Linked DNA regions of Caenorhabditis elegans. The protein of the gene in region 1 interacts with the protein of each later gene in a pairwise test. Each region holds a gene or a part of one and is shown in the gene's direction. Other genes may lie near its edges.

The links.
Region 2: the proteins of tsp-17 (region 1) and dop-2 interact in a two-hybrid assay, tested with the Caenorhabditis elegans proteins (one study listed by BioGRID).

What each region holds. Positions count from the first base shown.
Region 1 is NC_003284.9:3,679,528-3,684,529, forward strand, and holds tsp-17 (Tetraspanin-17), read left to right. Parts: upstream 1-1,649; coding exon 1,650-1,718; intron 1,719-1,762; coding exon 1,763-1,867; intron 1,868-2,214; coding exon 2,215-2,319; intron 2,320-2,364; coding exon 2,365-2,439; intron 2,440-3,034; coding exon 3,035-3,136; intron 3,137-3,253; coding exon 3,254-3,367; intron 3,368-3,411; coding exon 3,412-3,621; intron 3,622-3,846; coding exon of another isoform or gene 3,847-4,056; intron 4,057-4,143; coding exon 4,144-4,227; intron 4,228-4,412; coding exon 4,413-4,487; downstream 4,488-5,002. Other genes in the region: Putative protein tag-278, read right to left, coding at 4,838-4,958. UniProt on the Caenorhabditis elegans protein: Protects dopaminergic neurons against oxidative stress-induced neurodegeneration. May act partly via dopamine receptor dop-2 to negatively regulate dopamine reuptake transporter dat-1 activity.
Region 2 is NC_003283.11:9,606,810-9,614,570, forward strand, and holds the start of dop-2 (Dopamine receptor 2), read left to right. Parts: upstream 1-1,746; 5' UTR 1,747-1,770; coding exon 1,771-1,941; intron 1,942-2,420; coding exon 2,421-2,543; intron 2,544-2,597; exon of another isoform or gene 2,598-2,806; intron 2,807-3,685; coding exon 3,686-3,798; intron 3,799-4,011; coding exon 4,012-4,133; intron 4,134-4,187; coding exon 4,188-4,295; intron 4,296-4,345; coding exon 4,346-4,442; intron 4,443-4,487; coding exon 4,488-4,555; intron 4,556-5,156; coding exon 5,157-5,588; intron 5,589-5,922; coding exon 5,923-6,037; intron 6,038-6,483; coding exon 6,484-6,672; intron 6,673-6,718; coding exon 6,719-6,987; intron 6,988-7,032; coding exon 7,033-7,290; intron 7,291-7,377; coding exon 7,378-7,547; intron 7,548-7,623; coding exon 7,624-7,761. UniProt on the Caenorhabditis elegans protein: G-protein coupled receptor which binds to the neurotransmitter dopamine with high affinity leading to the activation of an associated G-protein and downstream signaling pathways.

The sequences.
Region 1 (5,002 bases):
ATCTATTACTGAAAAATAGATAGTTCTCAGAAATTTTTAAAATACTATTTAGATTACACGTGATCAAAATAGGCAAAAAAACCAGATAATTTAAGAAAAGTCTTCATAATATTGTGGTTTTTTATAGATTTTTAGTCACCGTTTTAGGGAATCATTGAGGTTCCAGAAATTCAGTTTTTGTCAAGGATTAGAGCATTGGTGCATTTTTGGAACATAAATTTTTGAAACATAATCTTAGTAAAAAAAATTGTACAGAAGTTTTAGTCGAACATCGAGAATGTAATTAAACCAGTATGAAGATTTGTAAATAAATCTTTGAATTTTGGAAAGGCGACTCATAAACCTCAAAAAACTTCCAGCTCAGATTTTTTGTAGAAATATGTTTGTATTAAAGCAGGAAACACATTTTCAAAAGTTTTAGTCTTGGGTATTATTGGAACATATTTAAAATGCAAATTATGGAAAAAGTAAAGTGATTTTGCATGAGGCGGAAACAACCATTTCTAAGCCTTAAAAAAGGAAAAAAAAAAAGCAAAACACGATCAATTGAAATAGACCGAATTTGACAAATGAATGGAAATTTAATTTATTTCCAAAATGATAGTCTCATAGTCCACGAGGGCTTTCGAAATTAATTGAATATTTAAGTTTAGGGTACTTTTCATTTTCTACCCCGCATTTTAAAAGAACATTCAAACCATTGAATTATTCGAATTTTATGCTCACGTGAATGTTCATTTTAATACTATTTTCATTCTAAGGCTTAGAAAACAAAATTGCTAAGCATAAATTTTTAAAAGTAAATGTTCCAGAAAAATCTGGGGTAAAAAAGGAAATGTACCAAATTTAGTCCAAATAATGCCTACCGGTGAGCATGAATTCAGAAAGGGCACAGTTTTTCACCAATTCTGAATACTGTTTTGTTATCAATTTTCACTTATTTTTTTCAGGAGACCAACTTCTGCTTAAATTTCAAATTTTTTATAACTTGTAGCATTTTTCAGGAGTCCTTGCCCATCGCTTAACATTGTCGGCTAGTGCCAATGCAGTATTCCACCGTTCGACTTTATTTGTTCACAACGAAGAGATGATGCATAGTATGAGGTCAAGAATTTGTTTGCCAGGTAAATGCTCTCCTGTCTCTTCCTCTTTCTCTCCGGTCTACTCGTTTGCGTGTGCTGCGTGGCTCGTTGAATGGTCAGCTGTGATTTCAATTTATCAGTTGGCAACGCGGTCCGCCAGAGTTTCAAACGGCAAATAGATTCTTTAATCGCTGCGTGTGGCCGCCGAGTTATCTTGCTTCTTCCGGAAAGTTTAAAGTTTGATCGCTTCATTCACTAACGAAATTCTAAAATACTCAAATCTTATTTTTGCACCTGAGGAGAAAATGAATTATTTATGGCGCTTTCTTGCTAAAAATTTAACAAAATGCATTATTCTATATGTAGAATGTCATAATTTTGGTTCTTCAGATTTTCCTGCTTATGTTTACTTTCTTTTCACGTCTCGTATCTCTTACTATTTTCTCTGGGACAGTTAGATGCATTTTTTGAATATTCTGATATTTAACACCTTTTTGTTCTTTTGAAGCGTAATTTCTTATTCTTTTTTAACCTTACATTTTACTGAAAAATAATTTCAGGCAGTGCATGGCAACAGAACGTGATGGCGGTGGCTGCCTTCGGGTAGCTGTTTCAATTTTCTCAATATACTATTGGGTTTGTGCCTGAACATGTTAAGTAATTTTTTAACTTTCTTTCAGCTTTCTGCTCTCGGTCACGTGTTTCTTGGACTATGGATGCTTCTCGACCCGAAACGAAACTACATCTTGGATTTGGTACACTTTTCGGAAAATGATCCGTTATTGGTACGTGTTTTTCATAAATTTTGTAGATATTTAGAGTTTAATCTTTTTAGAGTTGATTTAGAGTTGAATAATTTCCAATTCTTGCCATAAAAATTTCCAGCCACAAAAATTTAATTTCAGCAAAATTTTAGCACTATAGTTTTTGAAAATTAGAAAATAACTTTTTACACAAAATTCCTACAAAAGAAAACAGGTGTACTTTACAGATAAAATGAAATGAATAAAACATTTTTTGAATTGAGTAAGCTATTTTATTTTTAATTTTTTTTTTTGAGTTTAGAACTGTTTAAATAATGACTATTTCTTGTAAATCGTCAAAAAATTTTTGAAACGTATTATTTTTGCAGAAGGCATCCGCATATGTCTCATTGGTTTGTGGATGCGCTCAGCTTCTTGTTGGATTTCTTGGCCTGTGTGGAGCAGTTAACAGGAGCAGATTCTTACTGTTAGCTGTAAGTTTGAAATTTTTAAAAAAGTAACTTTTAATTAATTTTCAGTTCGTCATGTTTTTAATTGGCACATTTTTGGCTGATGTTGCAATGGGAACTCTATCACTTTTCTATAAGGATAAAGTAAGTTGATATATGTCCTTTTTTGTGTTCGAGAATTAAAATTATTCATGAAAATTCGAATTCTTGCCGTTGCTGATATATGTGTGTATGTGAAAACCTATCGTTTGCATAACTTCTAGTTTAAAAATGTTTTAATTGAAAAATGTGTGTTGTACGAGACATTAGATACAATTGAGAAGAAAAAAAAAACTGAATTGAGATTTTCAAATTCACTTTTTTTCCAAATTGTTGTCTCTTGAAATTTGCTTCAAAAAAGGACGCAATAACCAAATATAGCAGTTGAAGAATCATAAATTAAAACAACATTATGATTTTCCAATTTTGCAAAAATTCAAATGGCTGAATTGTATTTGAATTCCAGCGCAAACGTTGTTCCTCAAATTTTCAGACACTTTTCCGTGAAAAAGTTAATTAACCCCAATTGGATTTCATTTAGTTTCTTAAATTGCTCTAAAAGTCGATAATTTAATGTTTATTCAGTTTTTTTTAAACTGCAGATTTTTTATCATTTAAAAGAACATTCTCTACGAACAATTCCTTTAAATTACGGTTTTTGTCTAAACCTGTTAATTTTCAACGCATGTTACTTTTGCAGTTTTCTAACAATTACATGGGAGTGTATCTGAAGAACCTAACATACAACCGTTACTCACGAGATCGTTGGGTTCTGCCGTTGATGGATACTATTCAATTTTATGTGAGTATTTTGTTTATGGTAGATTTTAAAATTTCAAAAGTGCCAGCGTCTCCTTGTCTTCTTGTCATCGTAAATTTTGAATTGAATTATTGAATTATTGAATTATCAATCTTTAAGGTGTATTCGGTAAAAGAAAATGTGCGCGAAATCGTAAAATCCAAATATGGAGTGATGACTAGCGAACCTGAAAATAAGATGGTCACTGAATTCATTGACAAACTTCAATTTTATGTAAGCTCCAAATTTTTTCGAACTGAATAAAACTCTCAAATTAGGAAAAATGTTGTGGCTCGCTGGGTCCCACCGACTATATCAGCAGCCGATGGTCTCAATCGACAAATCAAGACTCGGAAGAGATCGAGTCCCCTCTGTTTCCGGTCTCATGTTGTACACAAATAACGGGCGCATCGGCATTAAACCCGCTCGCTAAAAGTTATGCTCGCTGCCAGCAAATTGGTGCCAATAGACAATGGAGACACGCAGTGGTAAGGATCCCCTGTTGAGTGCAAAGTGCGCCCCATTGAAGTTTCGTTTTGATGTAATGCCTCCCCGGGCGTTCAAAGATCCCGACTAATGAGTGAAGTGATTTGAGCTAAGAGTGATTGAGTGTAAAGGTGTGACAAAGAGGCCAAGGAAGACAAGACGATGGTGTCACATTCATCAATTTGATAAAATTGTTCTTCAATTTTTGTGAAATGAAAGAGATTTAGCACCAATGTTGCGGGGGAGAAGGTCCCCTGGACTACAAGGATTCGTTCTGGTACATTACTAACACGTTGCGTGGAACTCGATCGTTTGTCCCGCCAAGTTGTTGCAAGCAAGCTCAAGTTGGAAGAGCATGGGCACCGGTTCCCATTGACCCGATGTGCACAACATATCGCTACCTTACCACGGCATTTGACACATCTGTAAACACTGTTGTGAGTGTGTATTATGTTTTCTTGCTGGTGTGATTGTTGTGCTAATATTAAAGTTTTTAATTTATTTCTAAAGAAATGAGTTTTCAGGGGTGTAGTGAAAGACTAATGTCGTGGTTCAACGAGCAAATTTGGATATTCGTAGGATTTGGATTCGGTTCTGCACTGACCATGGTAAGGGAGGGTCAGACATTTGTTTCGGCATTTGAAAAAAAATCACATGTTTCACTAGATATAGAAGTTCTTACATGTATAAATTGTAAAATGATAGCCAAAAAAACAAATTAAAAAATTCATACCTTTCCGAGAAATACATCCCAATATCCAAAAAAAAAACTGTTTTAAATATTTATTTTCAGATGCTTGGAATTTGCCTCTCATGTTGTCTCATCTCGAAAATTCGCATTTACCATGTAATTCGAGATGACTACTAAATCACTCTACGGTGAATTAAATTTTCATATCAAACAGGGTACACTTATTACTACGCATTCTACATTGATTATTCCTCAAACTTCTTTCATTCTTTGAATATTTTTAATATCTTCACCATCTTGCCTAAACTTTGTCAATTTTTAGTTTTATTCTTCCTGTGGAACCATTTTATATTTAAAATCTGAAGTTATTAATCAATTAATAAATCATTCATTGCAAGCACTGACCAACGTCACAGCTCTACAAAAAGTGAAGATATTATGCCATGATCTGTAGAGCGCAAGAAATATACAGGTAATTAAAATGTTCGAATGACAAATTAAAAAGGACTGAGAACATATATTAGTGATTAAAATTTCCACGCCGGTCGCTTTTCGGAGGACGAATCTTTCTTAGTTCGGCTGAACAATTGTTGCGATGGTGAGCTTCGCTCCATGCGTTTTTCTGCGTCAAATGGAGAAAGTAGATTTCTGAAAGTAACAATTGATTGTCAAATAGTGTTTGAATTAAATAA
Region 2 (7,761 bases), on another chromosome or scaffold:
AATACTTGTCAACTGGAAAGAATACATTTCATTTTGAAACATACAGTTTTGTATATAATTTCGTAGATTGAATAAGCTTCCTGACCATAGACAAAAATCTCCGATACAACTTTGTGGTTACTAATTTAGAGTTAAATTAGTTTAGCTCCCTATTAGTATTCTCTAGTTACTTCCAACTATACAGCTTCGTTGCCTAATTGTCAAAATTTTTATGAGAACTATCTAAGCATTGACGTAGGTTTCATTAACTTGTTAACTCACGGTTGTATGAAACAAATTTCAGTTTTTAAAGTGTTTTCGATGTTTCTAACATTTCTTTCAAGAAACCCCATATTTTTGTTTGATCCGTGCACTAGATTAAAAAAAAAACCTTTACACTTTGGCTTTTTTCTGTTTTCATATAAATTTGATCTTGCTTTTTTACACTAGAGGTCCGAAAAAGTAACACCCAATTTAGAAAAATAGCCAAAACAGGAGGAACGGCTCGCAATTTATGTGCATTTTTTTGTGTCAACTCCACCCCAAGGCTTCTTCTTCTGCTACTTCTACATCTCTACGCCTGTCCTCCGCCCATCTCAAAGTTCGTTTATGTCTTGGGGACCGCATTTTCTCCGCCCCTTTACTCTTCGTTTTTTCTTTATTTAGTAAAGAAGAGATGTGGAAAAGATATTCATACTTTCCTTCCGTCTAAAATTCAACTGGCTTCTGAAGGTTTCTGCTCAGTCTAGGGCCACTTTTAATAGTTCACAAATAAACTATTGTTCAGTCTTGACAGAAGAAAAACATTCAATGACCTTAACTTTATTCCTTATTTTTGTCATTAGACATCTCGCACTTTGCTCTTTACTTCCTTGCCTATTTTCAAAAGACAACTCATCGTTGGACCCTTACCCCCCGAGATTCAAAAATTGAATATTCAATTGATGTGAAAGAAATCATCTGGGCTACCAGAGACGTGCCTCCTGGATTTCTTCTCTTTCTTGATAGATTTGGAGACATGAACCCCATCATTGCCAGACCTGCACTTTTAATTTTTTTTTCTTATTGGTGATTTTTGGGCTGCAATAACCTCAAAAACTATTTTTTTTTAAATGTTTGAAGGTCTTCCAAAATATTCATGACAGAAATACAATTGTTCGTGTTGGTTAATGTGCTGAAAGTCTATGTACAACTTTTGTAATTTCCACAATGACAACTTTTTTTCGTAGCTAAATTTCACATTTTGTGTGACTTCCCAACTTAATTTTATTATTTGTTGATCACTGATTTAGGATTAAGAGTAAGCTTAATGTGTGCTTTGTGTTAGAAATTTTAAATATTTTTAAAGATTTTACTTTAAGAGAGAATAATGATGTTTTTCAATGTTTAGTATTGATGTATCAAATACATTACGTTGACAGTCATCTGAGCATTGGTAAAGAATTTCAAACTTTGAGCGAAACACTTAGAACTTTCCAAGCAAATTATATTTTTCTAACTCTTCAGATTCTTTCTGTTATCGAGTCTAAAAAACTTCAAAATTCAATTCCATTTTTGAAGTGTTCCGTGCCTTTTTTAGTTTTAAAACATTCTGAGAAACTAAAATCTATTACGTTTCAGAAAGTAGGACCATTTGTAGAACTACTTACAGCAAAAAAACACTTGAAAATTTTTGTTCTTTACATTTTAGCATTAATCCTTGGAACACCTTTGTTTTTACCTTCTTCAAACCGTCTTGTTGGCTTAAAAAATGTAATAAAAAACTGTTTTAAGGTGATCCAACTCCAAAAAATGGAGGCCGGAGAGACATGGAATGTCTCCCTTGAATGGCCTCCACCCTCTCTTGATCTTTCAACAATCACACAAACACCATCAACGATAGTCGGAAGTGGAATTCCTTTGAACTACGCTGGACTTTCTCTTATTGTTATTCCACTCATCACGCTACTTGGAAACCTTCTGGTTAGTTAGAGTTCAATTGTCAGTTAAAAAATATATACAACTGTGTAATGTTACAGATAAAACTACTTGTTGATGTTTTTGATAAGAATGAAATCTTGAAAAATAAGAAATGTATCTTGATAGTCTAAAATTATCAAAGAAGAAAAAAAAATTTTGTCTCAAAACCCAGAAATTAGGGAGAAATCAGAAAACTTTTTTTTTTTCAAAAAATCGAAACATCAAACAACGAGTTCTTTTGTGCCTCAGTTCGTCTGACATTTAAAATCAATATGCCAAGATACTTCTTAAATTATCTTCGAAACGGTATCAAAATATTATTCAAAATTTGTGAACAAAGAACGATTCCTTGCGATTCTGGAGCAATGTCTTATAGATGTTCGTGTGAAACTCAGTTCCTCACATTTATTGTACATTTGGTTCAATTTCAAACTCCAAAGCACGTTCCAAAATAATAATAAAAAAGTATATTTTCTTTTCAGGTAATAATATCAGTACTCCGGTACCGAGCACTGCAATCAGCCATCAATTTCCTTATCCTAGGCCTGGCTGTGGCGGATCTTTTGGTGGCCATCATAGTTATGCCATACGCGGTTTATGTATATGTAAGTGATCAATTATATGTCTTTTGTTGGCAACCACAGCAACAGCTCTCCATAGCAGCATAGGCTCCCAATCTGCGTTTTCCTGAAGTGACGTGCTGTTCCACCTCTCTCTCTCTCTCTTTGCCTAACAAGGGAAACCGAGGTTGAGAAAAAACGAGAAAAGAGACATCAGCGACCAAGAGCAGTAATTTGTTGAGTGTCTCTCACAAGAGCTCCCGAGCTTTGCTCACACAGATTTATGGTTGTTTTCTGACGGTTGCCACGTCATAAGTTTTGGTAACTAGCTAACTAGTTGCAAACGTTGAAAGTCTCGTTGCATTTATAAATAGTACTAGAACACGTTGAAAATGAAAAAGAAAAGAACATCAAAGAGAAGAGACAAGACATGAAGCTGGTTGATGTAATCCCCTGACAGCTATCACATAACTCTATTGATGGACAGAGTGCCAAACGATACTTCTTTGTTAAGTTCCGTAGGTTTTCCCGTTGAAACAGAACTCTGCAAACTGACTTGACTTAAAAAGAATAGAAAAAGGGGCATGATGATGGATGGTACAAGGAGCGTGTGCGTGTGTGTGTGTGACGTGGAAATGAAGCCCAGTGGGGTGGAAAAGGGGAAAGAACGTGGTGTGAAAAGTGTCAAATTAGATGCACGGAAAGCCGTATTTATTGCTTCCTAGATCCTTCCAACCACGAAGGCTTTTCCTTTTTTTCCGGTAGATTAGAGAAAGCGTCAGGAGTGAAGAATAATGGAGAATTAGGGTAATGCGTATCAGATTCTGCAGAAAAAAGCAATTGAATAATAGACTTTGAAATTGTGTTTCAGTTGGGAAATTTCCATCGACAGTATAAATGAACACCATAATTACTATTGTAGTACAAAAACTAAAAATACCATATATTCTATTTTAGTGCTGCATCGCACTATTCCATTTTGGAAAGGTATATCTCGGTTTATTTTGAAGATATCAAAAATTACTGTTCTACAAAACTATAGAAAAAGAATTCAAAATGATTTATTCATTTGACAATTTTTAATAAAAGAAAAGATAACCGAAAGTAGTCAAAGCAATGGTGTACAGAAGTAAAGAATATACGTTATTCGTTTTTTCAACTGTCCATTAATTTTCCCTAATTTGCAGGTCACCAACGGCGACTGGTATCTAGGAAATCTAATGTGTGACATTTACATGGCATCTGATGTGTGCTGTAGCACAGCTTCTATTCTTCTTCTTGCCGTAATTTCATTCGATCGGTGAGTCGGGAGTTTCGAGTCATCTGAATAGAAAATGAACGTGTGGCTGTTATTCAACCAACCATTTTTTCTTTGTACTCATTTTTTGCATTCAGAATATGACGGGGAACAGCAAAGATCGTGGGAAAAATGTTAAGAGCATAAATCTAAGTATTTTGCTAAAATAAAAATGCACAGTTTTCTACAAAAAACTGAACTGTTCAATTATTTCAGATACCGTGCAGTCTCTTTACCAATTCAGTATTCAAGACAGTCACAAAATGTGAAACGGGTATGGACATTGATAGCTGTTATATGGTTGGTCAGCCTAACATTAGCCAGTCCAATGGTTTTTGGTTAGTTTCATACATATATCCTTTTAAAAAAAATCAAACTCTTCTGAATTGAAGGAGTAAACGTTCGTCCACCAGATGCTAACCCATACGAGTGTCGATTCTACAATGCTGAGTTTTCGATCCTCAGTTCTATGATCTCGTTTGTTATTCCTTGTTTTCTAGGTAAATTGAAAAGCCAAAAATGGTTTATTAAAATAGCTTCCCCGTTTCAGTACTTTTCGTCTATATTCGAATTATAATTGCTCTAAAAAAACGAGAAAAGGCAGCTAAAATGAGGAGAGAGAAGAACACAATTGCGCACGGTTTAACGTAAGATTTATTTGTTTACAATATTTGAAAATATTGAAATTACAGAATGAGGCCTGATACAGGCGAAGAGCAAGTTGACGAAGAAGCTGCAGGGCGTATTGTTGCTGGACCAGGTTAGTTTTCAAGTTTTTGTAAGATTGCATTCAGATGAGCGCACAAAAATTGACTAGGCTTTGATACTTTTTTAAGATTCATAGAAATTTCATAGAGAAGTGAAGTGAATTTTTCTCTTGAGTCGTATAACATAATTTATTTACTGATTTAACCTTTTTGCTTACAGTAATCTTATCGTAGCTTTTTGTGCAGCAGCGAAAACAGTTTCTGTGATTTTTCTTCTTTTCTATTAGTTTCAGATTAAAGCTTTAAATATTATATTTCAATGTCTTTCTCACGTTCTTTTTTTTTCAATTTTACTTCTCTCCTTCCACCTATTTTTTAAATTTTAGCAGTTTAGAATGAAAACTTTAACACATATGCACAATTTCCAACATTAACTACAAGACGAATTGAAAAGTTTTGAGACACACAACTTGGAAACTTATACCTTCCCCTAATATAGCTCAGTTTTGATACGATTTTCCCAAATTCCCTAGACATTTTTTAATTTCCGTTGAAAGTCGTTCATTTTTCAATCCTACATCAGCTCGAGCTAATTTAAGTTCTAGTCTTTCCTCTAAAATTATACTTTCCCTACACGTGTTTCGTCGTTTCCAGTGGTGAATGTCATGATGGCTGCTCTACCATCAATGACTCGTCGGATGAGACAATTCGAACGACATCGTCGCGCAATTGAACTCGCAGGTGATGAAGAATGGGAGGAAGATGAGCTGGACGTTATGGATGAGTGTTGTGGGGGTGACGATGCCGGTGACGATGATGATGATTATCATGCTGATAATGGACAGGGCGTCGTTGAGGCATCGGCACCTCGTACCACTTCCATGCTCCGAAGGATCATAAACGCAGCGTCTGTCGGAACAGCAAACTCGACTGCGCAGAGTGTTGCTTCAGCGTCCGGCATGCCTGCCTTCTTCGCCCAAAATATTTCCACCACCTCTCCGTCTTCTTCTTCGTGTGCTCGTACAACTACTACTACTTCTGCAATACCGAAGGCATCCGGTGATCTACCACTTCCTATGCTCCTGAGTATGTCGGAATTCATATATTCACATGTACTATCAACAGCACCGTTTCCTCATTTCTGCACAGACTATTGCACAACACGCTTCTACCACTTTCACTGATTTCTTATGTTCTTTCATTTTCCAGCTTCTCACTCACTATCACCTCAAGCTTGCAGAACGTTAGTTGCATGATTCATTATAGATAAAAAATGAAATATGGATATTTATTTGGAAAATAAAAATGTTTGCAGTGAAAACTAGCACGAAAGTTAACTCAGCTTGAGCATTTGGGAATTGCGTTGAGCATGATTTATATATTGTATTCCTTGAAAATATTCAACACAGTTTGGTTTCAGATGAAAGAGAATTTGGAAATAGTTCGACACCACGATCAAGTCTTGAATCACTTTCGGAAAATGTCAACGTGATTACAAATGATTTTGTGTCGGAGAATTGCACCACATTTTCAAGGTATGCATTGAAAATTTTACGAATATTTTAAATTTCGTCTCAAATGGACACTAAATTGCGCATCGATTGCTACTATTTTCGTAAAAATTTTGTAAAAATGTGAAAATATGCCACTAGAATGCAATTTATTCCAGAATATCTTTTTTCGAATTTTTTTCAGGGTTATTAGTACTTTTAATAACTAACTTTCTTGTGGCGACCCCTAAAAAACCACGCGCTTTTGGAAACACCATAAAATACTGCAAAATTACGGTAAAAACTACGTAGTAGCGAATTTGCAATAAATACATGAGAATAATTACACGAGAAGTGAAAGTGGTTTAGTTTTTCAACTTTTAAACCTATTTTTCACAATAGCTGTTGAACTTTTGTTGTCTGAAAATGTATTATTTTTGACTGAAGTATAACATATGTTTCTTCCCATATTTACTGATTAATTTTTTCAGAAGATCGTCATATGCTGACGACTCCCAACCAACATCGTCTCAAACTTCATCCGGAGATGGTCGAAGTTACAGTATCAAAGGACAAAAAAGATTTAGAAATTTGTCAAGAAACTATTCAACAAAACATCATAGAAAAGTAGTGAAAGTGAATAGAGGCAATTCTAGAAATAATTCAAGAACAGCATCAATGTAAGTATAGAGTTTGTTTGAAAATTTAATGAAATTCTGTTTGCAGAACAAATCAATCAGATGATGCATTGATTCCTGCAATTATTCGAACAATCTCTAGAAAAAGTCCCCGTTTATTCCGAAGAGATAAGACTGATATTAAAAAACATTCGATGATATTAGCCAATCCAATAACTGAACCTCCAAAGGAATACCGACGAGTATCAATGCCAATTCATCCAACAAATTCACAAACTGAAACTGAAACTATTTCTGCATCACGAGATATTGAAAATCTTCCCACTACGACAATTAGCAGAAGTACGACGGCAAATAGTGAGAATTATAAAGAATTTTGAAGAAAATTTATTTGTTTTTCAGGCGCAGAACTACTTGGATCACCAGATGATTTTGAAAAGTTTCCAGCGTTGATTACTGAAACAGTTTTAGAAGATGTATTAGCTGAAACAAGAGAAGGATGTTTTATGCAACCGACTGTTAGTTTTGCATTAACAGTTAGAGAAATGGAAGGAAATGCTTTGAATAATTTAAAAGGATGCAGTGTTGAATCGAGTCGACGTGTTTCGCAAGTTGATCCTCCCTTGGCCATTCAAATATTAACAAGACCCAGTTTACCACGTAAGTTTTTGAAATTCTTTTTTACATCAAAATATGTTTTTTTATTACATCAAAAAATGTTTTTTGAAACACTTCCGTACTTTGCAGATCTTGACCTCCAACGAATGGATTCAATTGGCACTACATGCTCATCAAAAACACGTGCCGATAGCTTAAGGTCCGTCGACTCGAAAGGCTCAAAGAAAAGCAATCGAAATGGGATTGCTGTCAAGTTGGTCAAGAGGGCTATCAAGCATGAGCATAGTTTGAAGAGGAAGGTAGGCGGATTTCACTTTATTCAGAAAGACATTCCAACTTTTTAGTGAAAAAGGGGTTTAAACACACAATTTCCAGGTCTCAAAAGCACAACGTAAAGAGAAACGAGCCACAAAGACATTGGGTGTTGTTGTTGGAGTATTTCTTGTGTGCTGGGTTCCATTCTTTGTTATTAATATTTTGAATGCAGTTTGCATTTTGCTCAATAAAGATTCG